2 linked regions of the Macaca mulatta genome follow. The protein of the gene in region 1 interacts with the protein of each later gene in a biochemical or structural test. Links are inferred from orthologs where the notes say so. Each region holds a gene or a part of one and is shown in the gene's direction. Other genes may lie near its edges.

What was found.
Region 2: the proteins of HLTF (region 1) and UBE2V2 form a complex in vitro, tested with the Homo sapiens proteins (2 studies listed by BioGRID). The link is inferred for Macaca mulatta from reciprocal best matches to the Homo sapiens genes HLTF and UBE2V2.

The regions. Positions count from the first base shown.
Region 1 is NC_133407.1:52,037,082-52,045,138, reverse strand, and holds part of HLTF (helicase-like transcription factor), read left to right. Parts: intron 1-1,679; coding exon 1,680-1,804; intron 1,805-2,616; coding exon 2,617-2,807; intron 2,808-4,129; coding exon 4,130-4,255; intron 4,256-4,581; coding exon 4,582-4,694; intron 4,695-5,051; coding exon 5,052-5,232; intron 5,233-8,057. UniProt on the Homo sapiens protein: Has both helicase and E3 ubiquitin ligase activities. Possesses intrinsic ATP-dependent nucleosome-remodeling activity; This activity may be required for transcriptional activation or repression of specific target promoters.
Region 2 is NC_133413.1:58,595,770-58,603,826, forward strand, and holds part of UBE2V2 (ubiquitin-conjugating enzyme E2 variant 2), read left to right. Parts: intron 1-2,023; coding exon 2,024-2,149; intron 2,150-8,057. UniProt on the Homo sapiens protein: Has no ubiquitin ligase activity on its own. The UBE2V2/UBE2N heterodimer catalyzes the synthesis of non-canonical poly-ubiquitin chains that are linked through 'Lys-63'. This type of poly-ubiquitination does not lead to protein degradation by the proteasome.

The DNA.
Region 1 (8,057 bases):
ATGGCCTGGTTATATAATTTTTGGATCGCCCATTTCCTTAAGAATCTACATTGTCTTTTTTTTTTTTTTTTTTTTTTTTTTTTGAGACGGAGTCTCGCTCTGTCGCCCAGGCTGGAGTGCAGTGGCCGGTTCCCAGCTCACTGCAAGCTCCGCCTCCCGGGTTCACGCCATTCTCCTGCCTCAGCCTCCCGAGTAGCTGGGACTACAGGCGCCCACAACCGCGCCCGGCTAATTTTTTGTATTTTTAGTAGAGACGGGGTTTCACCGTGGTCTCGATCTCCTGACCTTGTGATCCGCCCGCCTCGGCCTCCCAAAGTGCTGGGATTACAGGCGTGAGCCACCGCGCCCGGCCAAGAATCTACATTGTCATTGTACCACTGTATTTTGTATAGAATGTTTCTGTGGGGAAGCCTGGTTTGTTTGTTTTTTTCCTCTAAAGTTCAACAACTTCTCTGTTGACTTTCCCTGGGACATGTGATACTATTTAAATCTTTAGATTCCAGGCTTTTCCCCTCTTCTTTTTCCTGGAAAGCTTTCTTTAAATATTGTTTTCTGCTCCATTATTTTATTTCTCTCTGTGTATGTTAGATGTCTTTTAGCTGCGTTCCATAGGTATCATTTTATTTCTGAACTTTTACATTTTTGTGTTTAATCTTGATTTTCTCAATCCTGTTTCCTACATCCTTTTTCTATGTTTTTATCAGTGACTAGTCTTTTTTTATATTGGCTTATATTGGTTTCAGTGTGACTTTCATTTCTCTGATGATTCACTATTTTCTTTCACTTTCTTGAGCCATACCAGCTCATCTTTCAGCTCTTTATGTTCTCTTGCCATATTTTTTCAAAGCTCTTTTTCTCTTTTTTTTTTTTTTTTGGAGGAATTGTTTTATTGAGTGGTGTTAAATTGTGACAGTATCTTTAGTCATAATTTTTATTTGCTCTGTGGCAACATTTTTCTGCTGAGTTTTCTTTCACTGCCATGTGTTCCCTACCTTTGCTCTCTGCTGATTATTACTTATATTTGAATATCTTGAGTTCTTCTTGGACTAGCTGCTTGCTAGTCTAGATGTACGTAAAGGGAAAGGTCATAATCATGTCCCAGACCAGCAGGAAATAACCCAATTTACTTAAGAGTCAGGGTTACATGTTGAGTTACTTTAGGTTTTATTAGTACACATAAATAGAGATCAGAAACTTTAGGGGTGCTTGGAGTGTAGAGTGCTGTGCCCATAGTCTTTTTTTGAAAAACACAGCGCATCTGTATGTTTCTGTGTTCAGTTTACCTTCCCTCTTTTTTGATAAAAATTTCTCCAGGGAAGCTCAAGTCACCAAGCATGCACCCTGTTCCTGTTTCTGCACATGAGAGGTATTGATTTTCTCCTCAGGGCATGCCATCCATTTTAAAGAATTATGTTTTGGCAGCTCTGTTTGAGATCTGCAGTCATCTCTCTCAGCATCTTCCTATCTGACTTATACTGCAATTGGCAACCATTTCTCATATATTGTGCCTTATTGTTAAAGATCTCTCCTGATTTTATTAGAGTTTGTTTTTCTGTTTTTCATTCTTGTTTTGGAGTAATTTCTAGAGAAGAAAAGAACAATGCCATTTTACGCTGCTGTTTTAGAATAGGAAGTTATTGTTTAGCGGACTTAGTAATATTTGACATTTTAATCTCTAGGTATTTTAATGAAGGGACTGTCTTGGCACATTATGCAGATGTCCTGGGTCTTTTGCTTAGATTGCGGCAAATTTGTTGCCATACTTACCTTCTTACAAATGCAGTGTCTTCCAGTGGCCCCTCAGGTAGGTAAATTTGATTGCTTCATATCATTGTTATTTGTCAGAGATACTTAGATAAGAATGATCAATTTTTTTTTTTTTTTTTTTTTGAGACGGAGTCTCGCTCTGTCGCCCAGGCTGGAGTGCAGTGGCCGGATCTCAGCTCACTGCAAGCTCCGCCTCCCGGGTTTACGCCGTTCTCCTGCCTCAGCCTCCCGAGTAGCTGGGACTACAGGCGCCCGCCACCTCGCCCGGCTAAGTTTTTTTTTTTTATTTTTTAGTAGAGACGGGGTTTCACCGTGTCAGCCAGGATGGTCTCGATCTCCTGACCTCGTGATCCGCCCGTCTCGGCCTCCCAAAGTGCTGGGATTACAGGCTTGAGCCACCGCGCCTGGCCCAGAATGATCAATTTTTTTTATGTAGCATACATTTAGTTTGTTATTTTGTTCTGTCAAATGGAGATTGCTTTTAGTGTGAGACTCAGCTAGGAATATATTCAATAATTTTTTTTACCAGTGAAATGGAATTATAATGAGGTCTTTCCAGGAATTCCAGTGATAGATACCCTTTGATGAAAGATTCATATTGGATCTGCCTTTTATTGTGTGCTGGTATGTCACTATCATGTTATAATGATGCTTCTCTATGAGGTATATTACGTGAGTTGGCTACTATTTTGGCTTCTGAATGTTTCTTAAATTTCAAATTTAAATTATGCTTTTTGCCTGTGACAGAAAATGATGAGAGACTTTCCCTACTGGCAAGCGAAACTTTTCCTTATATAAGGTAGATTAACTTGTCATATTACAAACCTTGCTCTGACATTAATTTTTCAGCCTTTTCTCTAGGAAATGATACACCTGAAGAACTGAGAAAGAAGTTAATAAGGAAGATGAAGTTAATTCTGAGCTCAGGTTCAGATGAAGAATGTGCAATTTGCCTGGATTCTTTAACAGTTCCTGTGATAACACATTGTGCACATGTATTTTGTAAACCCTGTATTTGCCAAGTCATTCAGAATGAGCAGGTTAGTTTTTTGCTCAGTAGAGGTTCAGTGTTTGATAGGGTAGTGTACCTGTCTTTAATAAAAGATAATATATGGAGTTTTACAATTGGATTTAATAATACACCTTTGATAGTTAATTATTCCAGTATTTTAATAAGTGATATATTTCTCCTAATGCAACACTTTCAACATAAAAAGATGTTCACAATCAATATCTTAATTCCACTAACTGTTTATATCATTGCTGTTCAATAAATGGATTGATAAAGTGAGACACAAAGGTAATTTTAAGTTTTCTAGTAGTCATACTCTTAAGTAAAAAGAAACATTAAGCTAATTTTAATACATTTGTATTTAACCCAGTATATCTAAAATATAAAAAGTATTAATGTGATGTGCTTTTTGCAAAAAACTAAATCTTCAGAATTTGGTGGTAGTGTATACTTATAGCACACCTCAATTTGGCTTAGCCACATTTCAAGGACTTAATTGCCCCATGTGATTATTGGCTATTGTGTTGGATAAGGTAGGTCTAGATTCTTTTGTGTGGTTGAATTTTTTTGAAGTAGACTAGTTTGTTAAGCAGTCATTCAGCTAGGGTAGAATTTTTTTAAACATTTTAAATTGATATATGTAGAAAAAATGTATAAATTCATGATTAAATAGCTCAGTGAATTATCATGAAGTAAATATATTCCTGTATCTACTGCCTAGGTCCCCTTGTGGCCCCTCCCAATCATTTACCCTCTCCCTCTTCCCCAAAAGTAACCCCATTGTACTGACTTTTAAATAATTTTACCTTCAGAATTATTTTATTGTAATGGTGTTTTATATATAGTTATTTAAGATATTTTATTAGCAAGTTCAAATGGGTACAACAGATGTTGCTTTGGAATGAACTTGATAGGATTTAACAGATCCTAGTAGCTTTATAAGCTGTTATTAGCTTTATAAGCTTAATAGCTTTATAAGCCATTAAGATGGATTTTTTTTTTTAAGAATAGTACTAAATAGTGTAGCTCTATTGTATTTAGGTTCAATAAACTGTTATTCATGACTTTTTTTTAAACTTGCTTACAAACGTTATAATGTTTAGTTTCTTGCTGTTGCTTCTAGCTAGTCCAGATCACATATGTTTGCTCCCTCCTTTACCCATTCTACTTATCACATGTCTGGAATTCAGCAGGTTCAGATGTCTCTTAAATGGATGAAATCTATTAAAAGGTTTAATAAAATGTTAGCTATAAGAGATACAGATTTTAGCATACATTTAAAAATTTTTAGGCATATTTATATTTGTTCTTCTGTTAAGTGTTGCTCATACTTTTTTCTTTCTTATATAGCCACATGCTAAATGCCCTTTATGCAGAAATGATATACATGAAGATAATTTATTAGAATGTCCTCCAGAAGAATTAGCATGTGACAGTGAGAAAAAGTCTGATATGGAATGGACATCCAGTTCAAAGGTAGAGTACTCAGGTGCAAATATTTGAGTATTTGTTTAACCTTTATATAAGGAAATATACACAGTATATCAAAATCATAATTCTGCTTTCATTCCTGTCATTTTAGTATTCTGTTGTTGACCACTGTTTATTCTTAGTGGTGAATTTGAGAGGAAATAGAATGGGTTCAGATTATTATAGTGTTCTTTCAGTCTTAATTCTTTGTTTTAAATGAGTAGTCTTTTGCATTTTAGGGAAATAATATTTCAGGACTTTATGATAAAAACTTTCAGACTAATTTTACTGATTTAAAATGGAATCTAACGGACATCTTAATATTTTTTCAGATTAATGCGCTAATGCACGCATTGACTGACTTAAGAAAGAAGAATCCCAACATAAAAAGTTTGGTTGTTTCTCAGTTTACAACATTCCTGTCTTTAATAGAAATACCACTTAAGTAAGTTCCACGGTGTTTTTCACTTTCAGTAAAAGGATTTTATATGATTGTATTGATTTGAATAGCAAAAAAAAAATAAAAAGCTTATTTCTTTTGCCAGTTTTAGTCATTTTATCTGAAAGATACTGAGAGTCACAATAGAGAATACTTCCTGGCAGCACAGGAGTTTAAAGATTAAGTCCTGAATTTATCAGAAAATGACTGACTGCAGTGTCTAGCATATTAATAAGTGTTCAGTAAACATTTGTTAACATAAATGAGTGAAAGACTTTATTGAAGAGATTTGTGGTTACTTAACTCTGTTTTATTTTTATAATGATAGTGTTTGTTGCTTGTTTCTTTTCTTCCCCCATTAAGAGCCTCTGGATTTGTGTTTACTCGTTTGGATGGTTCCATGGCCCAAAAGAAAAGAGTTGAATCAATTCAGTGTTTTCAAAACACTGAAGCAGGATCTCCAACTATAATGCTTCTGTCCTTAAAAGCAGGTGGAGTTGGTTTGAATCTGTCTGCAGCTTCTCGAGTGTTTTTAATGGATCCAGTAAGTAGTTTTGTAAATTTTTTCAGAACCTTAGTACTTCTTTCAAAAAAATAGACAAAAAAAAAGTGGTAAATACCTTCATAGTTATAATTAACTGTGAATATTCTTAGGCAAACTTTAGAAATAGATAACAAAAACTTAGTAAATGTAGATTAAGAGCTTTCTCTTAAGCACTTTACTGAAATCCTCACAACATCCTTATGAGGTAGATAACCATTATTAAATGCTGTGTTTTGGCCAGGCGCTGTGGCGCATGCCTGTAATCCCAGCAATTTGGGAGGCCAAGGTGAATGGATTGCCTGAGCTCAGGAGTTTGAGAGCAGCCTGGGCAACATGGCAACATGGCAAAACCCCATCTCTACAAAAAAAAAAGTACCAGAAAAGTTACTCGGGTGTGGTGGTGTGTGCTTGTAGTCCCAGCTACTTGCTGGGCTGAGTCGGAAAGACTGATTGCTTGAGCCCAGGAGGTTGAAGTTTCAGTGAGCCATGTTCCTGTCACTGCACTCCAGCCTGGGTGACAGAACAAGAACCCGTCTCTGAAAGAAAAAAAAGAAAAAAAAAGCTCTGTTTTACTGAAGAGGCAACTGAAGCACAGAAAAGTAAATAATGTGCCCAGTATCACACAGTTTAATGGGCAAAACCAGAATCATAGTCCATGTATTTAAGTACTATTATGCTATGCTATTCTACTTTTCTTCTATAATAAATCTTTATTAACCATAATGCTTTTTAGGGTAGTGGTTCATTCAGCTGACAAATAATGAGATCCTGCTTTGTGTCAGTTGTTATAGGCACTGGGAATCTAATTATAAACAAGATAGACAAAATGACTACCATCATGGTTCTAGTGGTCTTAAGCTTTAATGTGCATACAAATTAGGTAAATGCAATTTCTTTTGCATTTAACTTAGAGACTTAGGCGTTCTAGGATTAGACTCAGGAAGCTGCATTTTTAGCATATCATAGGTGATTCAGGTATAGGTGGTCTAGGATCACAATTTGAGAAACAAATGGTCATTAATGGAATGTTCTGAGTACATTTTAATGCCTAATACAGTGCAGTCACTTGTGGTTGTGTGTAGTACAGGCATAAGGGTAGAACAGAGGCTAAAATTCACTTTGAACTTGACTCACCAAGCTGTGTCACCTGGACCTGCTTTCACATAGGAACATGTTTTTCTACATGTACAGAGGGGCTGTTTGGCTTGAAAGGACCTTGGACTAATTCAGTTTCTAATTTGCACTAGGTACTATGTGGGCTAGAGGCAACCTTTGCTGTTTCTGTGCATTCAGACTTAAGATTTGTGGTTGTAGCTTGTTGCCTGAAACTCAGAAGATTTTTAACATGTAGAAATTCTACTGAGATACAAATTTTAGTTACTTGGGTGAGGCTACCTTGTTGATGCATATATGTTTACTGAGGCTTCCTTTTTCCTCCCTCCACTGAGGGTATCCTTCTCAGTAAGATTGGGTATCCTCAGCAAGATTATAACTCGGGTCATCATACTTAGGCCTTCATGGGTGAATATCGTGGATATGGTATGGTCTGTTGTATTTCCCCCTTTTTCTTTTTTTTTTGAGATGGAGTTTTGCTCTGTCGCCCATGCTGGAGTGTTGTGGCGCGATCTTGGCTCACTGCAACTTACATCTCCTGGGTTCAAGCAGTTCTCTGCCTCAGTCTCCTGAGTAGCTGGGATTACAGGCACCTGCCACCATGCCTGGCTAATTTTTGTATTTTTAGTAGAGATGGGGTTTTACCATGTTGGCCAGGCTGATCTTGAACTCCTGACCTCGTGATCCACCTGCCTTGGCCTCCCAGAGTGCTGGGATTACAGGCGTGAGCCACTGCACCCGGCCGGTCTGTTGTATTTTCTTTAGTACTGTGGATAAAGTTTTAAACCTTTGTTGCAGTATTTTATGGCTACTATACAAAAATATAGTATATCGCGCCACTGTACTCCAGCCTGGTTACAGAGCAAGACTCCATCTCAAAAAAAAAAAAAAAAAAAAAAAAAACACTTGTAGTTTTAATTTAAAATTTAATGATCCTTATCCAAACAATTCATGATTCATGATACTATTTAAAAACCACTTACCAGAGTTCTGTATCTTTTTGGTTATTCTTCCCTTTTCATTGTTGCACCATTTTATTCTTTTTTTTTTTTTTTTTTTTTTTTTGAGATGGAGTCTCACTCTGTCACCCAGGCTGGAGTGCAGTGGCGTGATCTCGGCTCACTGCAAGCTCCGCCTCCCAGGTTCACGCCATTCTCCTGCCTCAGCCTCCCGAGTAGCTGGGACTACAGGTGCCCGCCACCACGCCCGGCTAATTTTTTTTGTATTTTTAGTAGAGACGGGGTTTCACCATGTTAGCCAGGATAGTCTCGATCTCCTGACTTCGTGATCCGCCTGTCTCAGCCTCCCAAAGTGCTGGGATTACAGGCGTGAGCCACTGCACCCAGCCCATCATTTTATTCGTTAGCTTAAAACAATTCTCATGATCAGGTCTGTGTTAATTAGCTAATGGTACTTTTTTTAGCTCAGCTTTAAAGTCAAACTAACTTCAAATACTGATACAGAAAATTGCATCAAAAAAACAATTTTTAGGACTTCTGACTCTTAAAACCCTTTTTTAATACTTTTATTTCATGAACAGAGGAAAGTGCAAGAAAACCAGAAAAGGGGGAGAAAACTTTTTTATAAATAGGCCCAAGAATTGCATCTTTTCTCATATAAATTAAGTCACCTAAGAGGATGTATAAACTTTTTCTGCTGTTAAGCACACATAGATTCTTTTAAAAATGAAAAAAAAAAAAAAAAACCCAGAA
Region 2 (8,057 bases), on another chromosome or scaffold:
ATTGCTGTATCAGGGCCGGGCGCGGTGGCTTGCGCCAGTAATCCCAGCACTTTGGGAGGCCGAGGCGGGCAGATCATGAGGTCAGGAGATCGAGACCATCCTTGCTAACACGGTGAAACCCCGTCTCTACTAAAAATACCAAAAATTAGCCAGGCGTGGTGGCGGGTGCCTGTAGTCCCAGCTACTTGGGAGGCTGAGGCAGGAGAATGGCGTGAACCCGGGAGGTGGAGCTTGCAGTGAGTGAGTCGAGATCGCTCCACTGCACTCCGACCTGGGCGACAGCAAGACTCCGTCTCAAAAAAAAAAAAAAAAAGAATTGCTCTATCATAGGGGTGTCTGATATGCATCCAGATTGGAGAACCACAGCCAAGATAATCTTTAGATCTATCTGATTTTAGTCATTTTTATATATTGAAAGTGCTGGGGATATTATTAATATTTGCTTGCTATTAATCTCAGATAAGTTTTATATAGCTTTTTTTCTTAAAAATATTGAAATATTTAATAACATACATATAAGATTGTTGCATAGGTTTTACATTAGAGTAGTTTAATACTGCAAATCTGACCTCCATTTGGATAGTTCTTGTTTATGGGGACGGGATCAGTTTGAGTAGGTGAGATCTGTAGATGGTTGATTAGCTTCCTCCCTCTCTGGTCTTATTCAGCAGCCAGCAGGTATTAAATTTTTCACTTTCATTTATTTATGTATATATTTTTATGTTATTTTAATTATAATTTAGAAAATTTATTAAAATTTCAATAATTATAAATTCTTTTTAAAACAATTTTTTTCTTTTTAATTGAGTCAAGGTGAGGATTCATTTATTTTTTTTTTGGTATTTTTTTTTTTTTTTGAGATGGAGTCTTGCTCTGTTGCCCGGGCTGGAGTGCAGTGGCCGGATCTCAGCTCTCTGCAAACTCCCCCTCCCGGGTTTATGCCATTCTCCTGCCTCAGCCTCCCGTGTAGCTGGGACTACAGGCGCCCGCCACCTCGCCCAGCTAGTTTTTTGTATTTTTTAGTAGAGACGGGGTTTCACCGTGTTAGCCAGGATGGTCTCGATCTCCTGACCTCGTGATCCGCCCATCTTGGCCTCCCAAAGTGCTGGGATTACAGGCTTGAGCCACTGCGCCCGGTCAAGGATTCGTTTATTTTTTACTTTGCTGTTTTAATGGTACACTAATAAGTTAACCAAGTGAACAAAAGCTATAGGAGAAAGAAGAGCTAATTTATAGGCATGAAAATAAGCCCTGGATAATCTAGAAGCTTTAAGTTTGATACCTATTTGAAAATGATGTGTAAACATAAAGTTTGCTATTGTTTCTCTGAATTCAGATAATGGGATTTAATGAACCTCAAAATTAATGAAGTAGCAACGTAAGTGTAACTAACAGGAGACATAAAATAATTATGTTTTATTGCTGCACAATGGTATAATGTGGGGTTTTCTTTTTTGCTAGAAGTTATTGATTGCCATATTAAGTAGGATGATCATATAATTTGTTATCCAACAAGACCCTTTTGAGAATGAAAACAGGCACTATTAATAGTCAATTCTGGAACAATAGGAATAAGCAGAACTGTTGTGTAAAACAGAAACCTCATATATGTTTGACACAAGTCTCAAGTAGCCCCTCCCTCTACAATGTAAACTTTTTAGCAAAATCTAAATTTAAGTGGTTTGGTTTTTCCTTTTTCCTTCTTCCTTCTAATTTGTTACAGGCATCATTTTTTATCACAAAAGCAAGTTGTGATCATATTGATAATACTTTGTAGAATTAATTTGGGAAGATCTCATGCAATTAATTTTGTAAAATCTCAATTTTTAAGTATGCTTATTGCATTTTTTCTCACCATAGAGGTGAAATAAATTTGAATGTGGAAAAATAAATTCTTAATCATAAACAGTGTCTTATCAAGTACATTCATATTGTACTTTTCCTTTTTTTTTTTTTTTAGCACTTAGACATTAATATTTTAGGTATTGTTATTTTGATTGTCTTTTTGTTTTTTGCCTTCCAGACAAATTATGAAAACAGAATATATAGCCTGAAAGTAGAATGTGGACCTAAATACCCAGAAGCTCCTCCGTCAGTTAGATTTGTAACAAAAATTAATATGAATGGAATAAATAATTCCAGTGGGATGGTAAGTTAATATAGTCATATTGGTTTTATATAACATAATGTATAGAGTTATATGTTAATTATACATACACACAGCATAATATGTGTAAGATATTAATATGTAGTTAGGAGAAAGTTTTTAAAAGAGGACTTTTGTTAAGCCAGAAGTCTAAAGAAGGTTGCATTATGTTGTTTTTATTTTATTAATATAAATTAGGCCATCCTTAAAAACCTTAATGTGCTTGCCTGGAATAGATGTATGTGGTGGTTAAAACTTTTTTTTTTCTTTCTTTTTTTTTTTTCTGGAAACAGAGTCTCACTCTGTCGCCCAGGCTGGAGTACAATAGTGTGATCTCGGCTCACTGCAACATCCGCCTCCTGGGTTCAAGCGATTCTCCTGCCTCAGCCTCCCGAGTAGCTGGGATTACGGGCACCCACCATCATGCCCGGTTAATTTTTGTGTTTTTGTAGAGACGGGGTTTCACAGTGTTTGGCCAGGCTGGTCTCGAACTCCTGACCTTAGGTGATCCGCCTGCCTCGGCCTCCCAAAATGCTGGGATTACAGATGTGAGCCACTGTGCCTGGCCAAAAGTTTTCTTAGGGTTTTAATTGCCTTAGTAGTCATATTTCAGTTGATCTTTATTTGGTAAAAAGATGACCATTATTGGGCGGGGCATGGTGCTCACTCCCGTAGAGATTGTGCCACTGCACTCCAGCCTGGGCGAAAGAGTGAAACGCCGTCAAAAATAAAGATGATCATTATTTCTCTTTGAATGTTACTTTTCTGAGGTTTAAGGTACACTTGGTGGGATTAAAAGGATGACTATTCATGAAAAGGATGAATATTCATAAAGGGTTTTTTCTTTGAGGAGCAAGTGTATCTGTGTTGAAACAATCATGGCTGAGCATCATTGTCTGTTTATTTTTGGGTTTTACTCTGTCCCCCAGGCTGTAGTGCAGTGGTACTCCCCCACTTCCCCTGGCCTCAAGTGATTCTCCCACTTCAGCCTCCCAAGTACGTGAGACTACAAGGCACATGCCACCAAGCCCAGCTAATTTTTATATTTTTTGGTAGAGATGGGGTTTTGTCATGTTGGCCAGGCTGGACTCAAACTCCTGACCTCAAGTGATCCGCCCACCTTGGCCTCCCAAAGTGCTGGGATTACAGGCGTGAGCCACTGTGTCCAGCCTATTGTCTCTTTAAACAAAATGACATGCCCTGCTTGACCCACACAAGTTAGTTAGTAGAAACAGCTGAATTTCCAATATGAGTAGATTGTTAAGTTCATGATAAGTCTTTGAAGCCTAGGCTCTCTTGGTGCCATGTTGAGAGCACACCACATACAAAATACATTTTAGGAAGCAAAATAACATATCATCATCATAAAATTAGTATCATCCATCTTAGGAAATAGGATCTCAGTATCCTTGATTTCTCATCCCATCCCTGTGTTTCCTCTCTCTACCAGTGTATTTTGTACTACAAATGTATCACATATGTACACAAATTCATCCTCCTTTCTTCTCTCCTTCTCTCTTTCCTTCTCATCTATTTACCATCTGTTAAAAACCACGAGTTTATACTAACAACTCCCACTAATTTTATTCTAAGACTATAGGGTTTGTTCTGTGATTCTTCCTTTCCATTTGAGAAACCTGGCTCCCATGCTCCCCAATGCATTTACTTATTTACTCAATTTCCCCTTCATATAACTGTATTTCTGGCAACAAGTTGAATCTTGGATTCACAGCCAGCTCCCTGCCCCTCATCCCCAACGTAATTCCCAGGTCTGAGGCAGGGCCCCAGATTGGCTGGTGCGTCCAGCAGGGAGGCACCAGGCCAAATAAAGCATGACCCTGAGAAAGGAAGAAGGTGGGAAAAGGTCATTGGAAACCTTAGCCCTGCACCTGCTGGGCCATTAACACCCCCCACACCCCTCCCACTGCCCACCCCTGTGCCAACTCAGAGCTGGGACCTGACAGTCTCTCTAGCCCTCACAGTCCTCAGTTGATCAGTCTTTGTGATTTACTGGGAGCATTTAGTCCATTTACATTTATTTTTTTTTTTTTTTTTTTTTTTTTTTTTTGAGACGGAGTCTCACGCTGTTGCCCAGGCTGGAGTGCAGTGGCGCGATCTCGGCTCACTGCAAGCTCCGCCTCCCGGGTTCCCGCCATTCTCCTGCCTCAGCCTCCTGAGTAGCTGGGACTACAGGCGCCCGCCACCGCGCCCGGCTAATTTTTTGTATTTTTAGTAGAGACGGGGTTTCACTGTGGTCTCGATCTCCTGACCTTGTGATCCGCCCGCCTCGGCCTCCCAAAGTGCTGGGATTACAGGCTTGAGCCACCGCGCCCGGCCTTATTTACATTTAATATACATAATTACTTACATGTTCAGGTTTAAATAGATCATCTTAGTTGGTGGTTTCTGTTTTTCTGCATGTTTCTTGCCTACTTTTGGAATGGTTGTTCTCAACTTCTTTCATTCTGTTTGTGTTCTTTCAGTGGTTATTCTAGAAATTATGTACACTTATCTTTTTTTTTTTTTTTTTTTTTTTTTTTGAGACGGAGTCTCACGCTGTTGCCCAGGCTGGAGTGCAGTGGCGCGATCTCGGCTCACTGCAAGCTCCGCCTCCTGGGTTCACGCCATTCTCCTGTCTCAGCCTCCTGAGTAGCTAGGACTACAGGCGCCCGCCACCGCGCCCGGCTAATTTTTTGTATTTTCAGTAGAGACGGGGTTTCACTGTGGTCTCGATCTCCTGACCTTGTGATCCGCCCGCCTCGGCCTCCCAAAGTGCTGGGATTACAGGCTTGAGCCACCGCGCCCGGCCACACTTATCTATTTTTAAGAAATTTGATAGCAGCAGGATTATAAAGCATATGAGTACACAGAAAGGATATTATTTAGGGAATGTCCTGTGTGACGCACAGCATTGCCTTTATGAAGAAGATCTTTGTTAGATTTTGCTACTAGATGTATCTGTTTTTCTCCACTACTGGTTTGTTTTTACATTATAGTTGCTGTAAATTAAGTAACCAATGGTGTGTTCTACATTGTCATGGAAGCTAGGAAATTTAGATTAAATTTCAGACCTACCTCTAATAAGCTTATCTGATCTCCTGGGCTTTTGGTCCATTAGTTGATATTTTGCATCCCTCTCTACCTCCCTTCTCCCAACCCATTTATCATTAAGCCTTGTCAGTTTTATGTTCCAACTGTAACTCGATTTAGGTCTTGTTTTTCTGTTTACATTGCCACCAAGTGAATATTGGCCATCATTTATTTCCTGGACTCTTGCAACAACATCTCTGATTCTGCTTTTTAAAATCCCTTCCAATCTTTCCAAAGTTAGCAGCCAGAGGGATCCTCCTAAGAGACAAATTGTGTCATGTCATTTCTGCACTTCAGATTCCTTTAGGGGCATCAGCCTCAGCATGCTTGCTTCTTGCCATGGCTCACTGGGTGGGAATGCTCAAGGTGCACACTGGCTTGCATGCCTTTCGTTTGGTCTCAAGACATTTGCACTTCTGCTCTTCCTCCTTCCTCCACAGTCTGGCTAACTCCTATGGGTCCTTCATTTCTCACTGTAAATTCCCCTTTCTTTTTTATTGAGACAGAGTCTTGCTCTGTCACTCAGGTTGGAGTGCAGTGGCACTGTCTTGCTCACTGCGACCTCCATCTCCTGGGTTTAAGTGATTCTCCTGCCTTAGCCTCCGAAGTAGCTGGGACTACAAGTGTGTGCCACAACACCTGGCTAATTTAATACAGATGGGGGTTTGCCATGTTGGCTAGGCTGTTCTCGGACTCCTGACCCGCGTTGGCCTCCGAAAGTGCTGGGATTACAGGCATGAGCCACCGCACCCAGCCTAAATTCCACTTTTTAACAGAACTCTTTATTGATGTTCCAACTTGAGTTATGTCCCTTCTATTGCTCTGTTATAGTCACTCTTATTCTTTTGTTGCACTTACTATAAATTTATTATTTTTTTGATTTTAAAAGAAATGTTTCTAATATAATAGAGGAAGTTTTAGAGAATGATAGAACCAGCATCTATGTGTCCTCCACCTAGCTTTGTCAAATGTTAACATTTGTCTTATTTGTAACAGATTTTTTTCTTTTTATTTTGAGAGAGTCTCACTCTGTCTCCCAGGCTGGAGTGCAGTCACGCGATCTTGGCTCACTGCAACATCTGTCTCCTGGGTTCAAGCAATTCTCCTGCCTCAGCCTCCCAAGTAGCTGGGACCACAGGCATGTGCCACCACGCCCAGCTAATTTTTTTGTATTTTTAATAGAGATGCGGTTTCACCATATTGGTTAGGCTGGTCTCAAACTCTTGACCTCAAATGATCCACCCGCCTCGGCCCCCCAAAGTGCTGAGATTACAGGTGTGAGCCACCCTGCCCGCCCAGATTTTTTTCTTACTGGTACAAAGACTACATTATAAATAGAGTTAATTCTGTGTGTGGCTTTCTCTTGTTTCCCCTTCCTATTTTTTTTGAGATGGGGTTTTGCTCTTGTCGCTCGGGCTGGAGTGCGGTGGCACAATCTCAGCTCACTGCAACCTCTGCCTCCTGGGTTCAAGTGATTCTCCCGCCTCAGCCTCATAAGTAGCTGGGATTATAGGTGCCCGCCAACACGCCTGGCTAATTTTTGTATTTTTAGTAGAGATGGGGTTTCACCACGTTGGCCAGGCTGGTCTCAAACTCCTGACATCAGGTGATCTGCCTGCCTCGGCCTCCCAAAGTGCTGGGTGGGATTACAGGCGTGAGCCACTATGTCTAGCCAAGTTTAAAATTTTTAAATTAAAATGTTCTCCGTCAGATTGCTGTAAAACTTTCTAAATTCTTACTCTCAATTGCAATGTTTTTCTTGTCAAGGACCAGTAGAATTCAGTTCGTGGCCTGCCCCTTTCCATGGACATACCTTGAGTAGCGCTATTCTCGGAATACATCTAGAAGTGTGCCGTGGCGTGGGGCTTTCTTCAGCTTGAATATTGCCAAGCTGCTCTCCGCAGGGCCAGGTCAATGTCAGCCCCACCAGTGGCGTATAACAGGACCCTGTGAATGTATATTCCCACCAACCCTTCTTACTGTCAATCTGGAATGGGGACTGGGAAACAGAAAAATAAATACTGATTTTAATCATTATTGGAGTGTAGATGTGTGTATAGAGGGTTGTGGGTAGGGTGAATATATTGGACATCTGTTTTTCTCTTCCATTTACATCTAAGAGATTGGATTATTACTTTTTTTTTTTTTTTTGAGACGGAGTCTCGCTCTGTCACCCAGGCTGGAGTGCAGTGGCCGGATCTCAGCTCACTGCAAGCTCCGCCTCCCGGGTTCATGCCATTCTCCTGCCTCAGCCTCCCGAGTAGCTGGGACTACAGGTGCCTGCCACCTCGCCCGGCTAAGTTTTTGTATTTTTAGTAGAGACGGGGTTTCACTGTGTTACCCAGGATGGTCTCGATCTCCTGACCTCGTGATCCGCCCGTCTCGGCCTCCCAAAGTGCTGGGATTACAGGCTTGAGCCACCGCGCCCGGCCGGATTATTACTTTTATAACTAGTAAATGGTACAGAATTTCACACTGGTGATTGTGCCAGGATAGTTTTATATATTTCGAGGCTAAGTATCTCATGAATTGTAGTTCACAGGCATTGATGGTGGGTGTCGCTTTAGTAATTTTAGTTTATATGTATTTAATATGACGAGGCAAAATTATCCCCTGTGGGTGGTTAGCATTCTGAAGTGTAAATTTCATTGTCTTATGCAGTGAGATCTCACATTTTGGAGGTCATTGTATGTTGTAGACTGATAAGATGCAGATTTTATTCTGACATGATATTTATTTTCTCATGCTCTTTACTGTGTCTTCTCTCTTCATCTTTTTTGTTTTTCTTTTCCTCCAGTGTTTTTTTTTTTTTTTTCACCCT